Tribolium castaneum: one gene and its partner. The protein of the gene in region 2 interacts with the protein of the main gene of each other region in a pairwise test. Links are inferred from orthologs where the notes say so. Each region holds a gene or a part of one and is shown on either strand. Other genes may lie near its edges.

The links. The genes of interacting proteins can lie anywhere in the genome.
Region 1: the proteins of eya (region 2) and Rga interact in a two-hybrid assay, tested with the Caenorhabditis elegans proteins (2 studies listed by BioGRID). The link is inferred for Tribolium castaneum from reciprocal best matches to the Caenorhabditis elegans genes eya-1 and ntl-2.1.

Annotation. Positions count from the first base shown.
Region 1 is NC_087396.1:22,481,516-22,485,777, reverse strand, and holds the start of Rga (regulator of gene activity), read right to left. Parts: upstream 2,801-4,262; 5' UTR 2,457-2,800; coding exon 2,308-2,456; intron 2,178-2,307; coding exon 1,795-2,177; intron 1-1,794. Other genes in the region: Fpps (farnesyl pyrophosphate synthase), read right to left, coding at 3,787-4,122.
Region 2 is NC_087396.1:15,480,462-15,484,406, reverse strand, and holds the start of eya (eyes absent homolog 2), read right to left. Parts: upstream 2,816-3,945; 5' UTR 2,616-2,815; coding exon 2,535-2,615; intron 2,483-2,534; coding exon 2,433-2,482; intron 1-2,432. UniProt on the Caenorhabditis elegans protein: Tyrosine protein phosphatase. Acts probably as a transcription regulator in the embryonic and postembryonic development of several tissues including pharynx, vulva and gonads. Required for the development of anterior tissues during late embryogenesis.

The DNA.
Region 1 (4,262 bases), about 7.0 Mb from region 2:
TTTGAGAGAAGAATTATTGACTTGAGTCTTGAAAAAATGTAGTTTCAACAATTTTTTTCGGCATTTTCACCAAAAGTTTATTAACGAAGATGAAAACATAATTAGCAAATTTTTTCGTAAAGTTAAAAAAACATAATGTTATTGTTCAAAAATGCATATCCCATAAACACGTACTTCAACAAGAACCAAAAACAAAAAAAGACATACGATTTAAAACATCGCATAGATCACTATACTTTTTTTATAAAGCTTTTTATATCTTTAATAAATAAAAAAAGAATGGTAATTTAGTTATTTCTCTGTCTTTTGAACAATTATTTTTCGAAAATTTTTGCTAAAAATAACCAAATTAGATCGAAATTAATCTTGTTTTAGCTTGGTTGGCTAGATTTACTCAACTCTTGAACTGCTGGAGACATATTTATATCAAAAATATCGTAAAATTACCAAAAATATATCGAAATTGTTGTTCTTTGTTTATGTCACTCCATTTTGAGCAAAATTTCTTCATAAATAAGCCAAAACATTTTTAAGTTTTGAAACACTTTTTTGAAATAAATCCTCGGACAGTTTTCGCAAAAACAGGCAGAAAAGACACACATGTATCTTAAAATTTACATTATTTTAGAGCATTTTTATACGTTTTACAGCCAAAAAAGGAATTATATCGCGAAATTTCGTTAAAACAAGCCAAAAATTCATTAAATACGACAAAAAGTGTTGTTTTTGGATTTTCAACTGTGTTTTTACAGTTGATATACTCTATCTTTCTGACAATTATTTTTATCAGTTACTCAAGCCTTTAGGAATTTTAATAAATTGAGGATAAATGAACTGACAAAAACAGTTTTTGCAGTGTTTCACAACAATGACACGCTTTTGTTTAAACTTTCATAAATCAAAATCATTATTTATTTACACAACTGTATTTCTTAGCTAACTGTACTTTCGAAAATTACTCTCTACAAACATTTTTTTCCTTTTACAACGAATGCTTGTGGTTCTCCAATTTTTTAATTTATTTTGGTTACCTAATCTCTCGCGTGTGTTTCGACCAGTTGTCGATTAACCGTTTTATAAAAAAAAATTAAAAAAAAAACGTATTTGCACAGACACGTTTCATCAAAAACAAGTTTAAAAATTGCTCGTTAAACGTAAATAAAAATCGGATTATTCCACTGTATTATCGGAAATGTCTTCAAAATAAAATCTTGCAAAATCGGTATAATTATATTATAATCAATGCATTTATAACAACGTAATTCAGTGACACCAACATTTACATATAGTAAACAGTTTTTTGTCCCTAATACATGGCAACACCTGTTATTATCACACACCCTTTGGGAAATATTTTCACGGTTGGGTTTCAACAATTTTTATAAACATTAGCAACTAAAATCACCGATAATTTAGTGTTGCCAATAATTTTTTACCCAACTATGAGAAAAATTGTGGTCAATATAATTTATTTATTTATTTGAACGCACGGTATTTTTAACACCTTTCTAAGTAAAACGCATTTATGTTACGGGTCAGTTGCCATTTTAATTGTTTCAGATTTTATCCACTCTTTGCAAGCTTTGTTCAGCGAATTATTCGCACAATAAATGAAAATCAAAACTGTTAGGAATAACAAAAAGCAGTTTGGGCTAATTTACAAGTTTAAAGTTTTTGTGTAAAAAATAAGGAAAAATCGACGGCGTTCCTCGAAAATAAAACGCAAAATCAGTTATCAAAACAAATATCAATCGCCTTATCGATGTTATTTTAGCTGAGATAAGTGGCACTCACCGGATTTCGCGCTGTTTTTGTCGTTCTCCCGGGCACTGGAGGAGCCGTCGCCTCCACCCCCCGTGTTGTTTTTCTCCCCCGACGTGCTCCCCCCGGGCGATACGCCCTCCCGATTTTGCGTTCCCGGCAACGCAGGAAAGTCCTCTGACGACATAGTAAACTCACTCGCTTCGGACGTGGGCTGCTTGACCATTCCTACGTAGGGCTTCGCCCCCGGCATGGGGCTCGGCTGTGGAACGTTATCACCCGAACTTCGATTCGTTAACGAGGGAAATTCACTAAGATCCAGTAACGAAGGGGTGTTAGTGTCTCCTGAGCCAAACACAGAATTAAAGGAACTATAACCTCCCAACGAGTTCATGTTACCCATTTGGCTACTATTTCTACAACAGAACAGAAATGTTGCCATTTGCGCTTGACACTTAGGTTATGGTCGCTTTTGACATAAACAAACCCTAGCTGCGGCAGATTGAGGTCAGCTAGAGCTGCTTATGGCGGTGGAAGGATAGTTACCCCATTGCGGGAATTCCCCGCCGGTCTGAAGGCGCCCTTTGCCCGAAAACGGGGGTAACATGACCAGACATAGAGTTACTTCCGAAGCTAACACTGGATCTTCCGAGGCTGCTACCTCCTATGTTCCTTGTAAAGTTCAAATTCGCCATAGCTATCTGGTGCGGGGCGAGCCACCTTTTAGCATAACGGAACTGCAGTAGGACACTGAAAAAATCGCTCCTTGCTTCGCCACACTTCTTATGTTAAATTATCAGCACAAAAAATACAAATAACATCATAAACACACGAAACTTAAATGCACGATTTTCGCTTCAACTAGATTATTGAGACCACTTGATGAAGAATGCACGGTTCCAGGCTCGGTTAAAAGCACACCAAAAACCTCTCGCTATACAAAATAAAGGCGTAATTTTGACAAAGTAGATGTTATTGTCCAAGTTCGGTCCGCCATTACCGTCGGAAATGTCAAGATGGAGAGTGTCAACTGTCAGCCACGGCTTCGACCCACCGCCGAAAGATGGACATTGCCGCAGCCAATGCTAGTTGCATAACCCACACCTTCAATTACTCGATCCTAACTTAATTTCACCTTTACCCACTTCATAAAAAACACAAAAAACTAAGTTCTCGTGCCCCGTAAGCAAAAATAAAAAATATACTTACCTTATTCAACGTTTTCCGTATAGTCAAAGTATTCAAGCGGTAATGTTGGTTGCATAATTCGCATTATTTAATTACTTTGCTTATAAAAATGTTATTAACTATTATTTATTATCTTATTATGTTGATCGCCCATTGATATCAATAATTTTGACTAACAAAATCATAGGTCCATTGTTACCCGGCGCATCCACCATTTTTGCAAAAGTGTAACCAATAGATGGCACTGTTTTTTTGTGATTTTTTTTTATAGAAACTTTAATCAAAATAACGAAAACACAATCCACAATTAGATTTCGGAAACTTATAACGTCAAAATTTGACTTCTTATCGTATTATAAGACAATTTGTATAACGATATTGAATCGTCTGATGCGAAATAAAACAAAACACTATTATAAACGTATATTTATTATTATTACTTCGTAACAATGATTAAAGACATGCACCTTATAAAAATCGAATGACTTTTCTGGTTGGTAACAAAACTTACCAGGAAAAAAGGAAAAACACAAGTGTGTTAATATTCGACAATATTTCAAACTTGTGCAGCTTACAAATACGACTAACTTAATGCCGACTGGCCTACGACTAATCGACTAACCCAGCCTGCACGATATCACACAGAAAAAGACTCGAAAATTCACAAGATAACTCCAAATACCCAATAGAATTAAAGCTTAATTACAACTGAATCAAACACTTATTCAGCACAGCTAAATAAAAAAATATCAAAAGCAATAAATTCCAATAAAATAAACCTTAAAATTAACTCAATTATCTTGCAAATAATCAAAATACTGATTCACACACACACTACTAACAGTCCCTCCGGTAAATTTTCTCCATAATTTTGAAAAACAACTTGTGTGGAAGTCCTTTGGAAATTTGCTGGATGTGTGTACGGATGATGTTGAAGCTCTCCTCCTCATAGATGGCATAAGTGTTTGGCAAACTCAACTCTTCGTACAGGTTTCGGATGATTCGGACTGCTTCAGGGTCGGGACGGCCGTAATACTCCTCCATTATTTTTCGCTGGGTGGGGTTGGCCCTTTGGAGGGCCACCACAGCCAGCCAGGAGCACTTGCCCTCGCGGATGTCGTTGCCCTTCTTGCCCGTCACCTCAGGGTCGCCGAAGCAGTCCAGGAAATCGTCCTGTTCAAAATTCGAACTGTGATTTCTCGACGCAAAAATTCTCAGAAAATTGTAAAATAAAATAACGCCTGTTATTCAATTTTGTTAAATTAAAATTTTGATTTCTGCTTTAGACCAAAACTAGCTAAATTAGAAGCAAG
Region 2 (3,945 bases):
CACATTGAACAATTTGTGAAACCAAAGTAAAAAAAACAATATTTTGAGCTGAGATCAACTAACTAGTAGGTCTGTACTACCTAGCAGTCTTTTATCCCTCTTTGTGCTTTACGAAGGAGAAAGGTGTACGTAAACAAGCTCAATGATAAATATTGAAGAAAAACTTTTATATGCAAGGTTTTTGCGAAGTTGCGGCGTTCCCTTTAACAGATTATAGCATGCATTGATGTCCTTAAGAGCTCTTTAGTAAAATACAATAAGTCAATAACTAAAATTTTTAAATCCGATCCAAAAAAAAGATGTTTGGGGTTAGTAATTTTACTAGGACGATTTAAGTTAAAACGGTTAAGAATAATAAATACATAGTATATACAGTAAAATTTTCCTTAATGGACACCTCTTTACAACGGACATTTTTGTAGGAACGTAACAAGAGCATTGGAAAATAATGTAAGAAAACCTTTCGACAACGAACTCTCTGTATAGTGGACACAGACAAAAAAATCCCCAATAAATATCAAATAAATTTACCTTTTACAACGGACAAACCGAAAGCCCAGAATTAAATATCGATGAGTGTATGATTTTTTTTAGAAAAACGTGATAAAAAGGTTGATGAAGACGATCGTAATAAGAGGAAAACTTGCCTTAGAACTCATGTTCTCTGAATATTTTGAACCTGTTAAAAAATAGCTGAAATTAGCGTGTATTCTGTAACTTTTTTAACGGGCTGTTAGAATTTAACACTGGTTAGAATCGCAAATCAAAGAATTTTATTGGTTACTGCTATAGGAACAACGATTAACGGTCTTTAAATTTTAATGGTTTCATTACAGAATATGTATTATGTATCAAATAAAAATTATAAAAAAAACATTTTTCCTAAAAACAACCAAACAAAAATTGAATATTTTAAGTACAAAATCTGTATATTTTCTTTTATAATACTTATTTATAAATGAATTTTTTTTTATTTATAATAAACCTAGGAATAAAAAGGAAATTCTGCGTACGAGTTAAACATTTTTTTAAATATATTTTTGTGATAAATTAAATTTTAATGTTTGATGGCAGTTTATGGAATGATGCATAAAATAATTTATTTTATAATTTATTTTAAACTGCCCACCTCTCATTAATGGACACGTCTCCAAAACGGACAATTAAAAATTCTCCACCGGTGTCCGTTGTTGAGAGGTTTTCTTCTGTATAACGTACTAGATCGTGTAAAAAAAATCTTAACTTCGCGAATACTTCGCAACACCAAACTCAACTTTAGAAATACGTTACACATTTCTCAGGAATTTGAGAAAAATCTGTTTAAAAAATGTTAAATGTATGTAGGTACTCAATTTCCTAACACCACCAAGGATAGTTTGCGAAAGATTTAATTGCAATCCAAATTAATTTTGTATTAACCCAAAATTTTACAGAGCCACGTGTCACTAAATTAATTGGCTTTCCCGCATCTGATTTAAATTTATTATCTGAACGATCACAAGCAGGATTATGCTACGTCTATGGCCAGATCACGAAGCTGTGAATGTGAATGCTAGTCGACGTTTTACACAATTTTTGCAAATCCTACTACTTCACTGTTTATAACAAAAGGGAAAAGCTCATCCTCATGCGAAAAGCTTCGTATTTTTTTTAAATAACATCAAAAATTTTATTCCCGAAACTTTCTTTTGTAAGTAGTTTGTTTAATTATCACTCGATTCTGGTATGTAAACACTTAATTTTTTTTGTAACACGGACAATAACTTCAAGATTTTTTTACACTGGAATACAATAAATAGTGTTTAAAGAATAGTTTAAGCAGCTTAAATAACAAAACATAAACATGATGAAAAAGTGTTTTTAAAATTAAACTTAACAAAACTTACAACCACAAAGCTGCTACTTGTCCGTAGGTTTCTAGACAGATACTATACGGATATTGACAGGGCTTCAAAATATTCTATAAAACTCTTGAATGAGTAATGTGAGAATTTACTATACGTCATTACTAATTTTCATTTCTCCTTTTTATAAATTGTAGCATAGTTAAAACTGCACTTAAAAATTTGAATTCAAATATTCGTCGATTCCACATCTCAGTTTGAGTGTTGCAATTTTTACGACTGCGAGCTGAGCACAGTCGCCACAAAAGGTCAACCTTCACGCTTCACAGGGTGGACGAATTAAACTCAAGATAATAAATATCGCCCCCTATCCAATCGCGGATTAAAATGGAAGTGCACCCATTTGACAACGGTTACAAGACCATTATTCTGTCAAAGTGGCGACTAACAAGACTTTATCAGATGACAAGAGTTGAGCCTTGTGGTAATAAAGTCGGCGGAGTATGTAAAATAGAAACCTCGCGGTGGAACAACAACCAAAGGTCATGTCGGACTTGGCCAATTTTTTGAAACTGTTTCAAGACTTACCGATCGCGATCAGTTGGGTCCGACGTTGCATCAGGCCTCGGCCGCTTCACCTGAAACGAAGAAGTGATTTCAACGGGAGCTTCGCACTTGACATTCCTATACCTTAGAGTCGCACATCTTATCGATTATCGCGCATCGTGTCGATTGGGCATTGAGGTAATTGCAAGGCATTATAGTCACCATGGTAGTGGCACCCGACGGCTCTCGCGACCACACCACTCAAAGGACCATCGCCACCCGCACTCGACACCGACCAACGCAAAATTTCGAGCTTTACGCACTGCCACAGGGCGAAAACATCGCCAAAAGTCCAAACTCAGCTTGGTCGCGACACCGGACTGCTTTACATTCCTTCCTCCGCGCCTGCAGCAGACTGAAAGCCCTCGCACGAACCGAGGAGGAGGGGTGAACGCACACCTCTCTGGTGGAAGGAGTCCGAACTAACGGCGAGCTTTCGGAACCAATGGCGGTGATACTCCGGGCTCCAATAGTGTGCAGGATAATTATTGTTTTATTGTGGATAATAAGCGGAGGAATACCTGTTCTCGAGAGGCCACGGACTGGAGAAACCGGAAGTTTGGGAAATTTTCAAACAGATGGGAAAATCCGAACTAAATCTCGTTTTTCTCGCATCGATAAGATCGTAATAAATACGCACGACCCTTCCGATTTTACCCCCGAATCACCGGAAATAACACAATGTGTTTATTATGGCCATTGCGAGCGGCTTTTAGGGCTTTATTTAAATACTAGTTTCAGGACTAGATCAGCGGCTTTTGAACAATTAAACGATTGCTTTGTGCCAACTGTGTCAAAATAAGCGGAGGTTAGCGCCAACTGGAACCCGGGGCTCAAATAACACGATCTGCTTCAGAAACTGAAATTATGGGTACTTTCAAACGGTACTAGTTTGCCTATACTTTTTGCACTAAAAAATGGCTTTCCGAGTCGAAGGTTTAGTGGGAGGCTGGGGCCGGGAAGCGCCCATAAATCCGAGTCAGAGTTAGTCCCATTTTTTGTGCAGGTCCCGCGTCAACATTAAAATATTTGACCCAGATGTCACATGTCCCATGGTCCGTTCGTGACCATCATCAAGCCAGCACCAGTTACAATAAAATTTTACCATGGTGAATTCGATTAGGCCCGTGTCCGCGACGAATTTCGCCGTGTACCTCCGTCCGTAATCAACATAAAAATAAATAATTGGGCTTGTGAGCGGGCGTTTGTTTATTTGCTGGTGGCTTTCGTTTAAGGGTTGACTGCCATGAAATTGCGTAACGAGAATGTGGCTGTGATTAGCACGTCCGAGTCCGGAGGATGAGTGGGTGCGGGAAAAATCAAGTGACGGGGTAATATTTCTGTAATATTGCCGATAAGATATTGCAGATTGTTTTGGTTGGGATAAACATGCTGTAATGTGATGCTGTCGACAAGAGAAACGCTGTCGGTTTATGTCGTCGATACATATGGATATGTCTGCCAGACATGCTTGCGTTTGTGGCTTGCATGGACA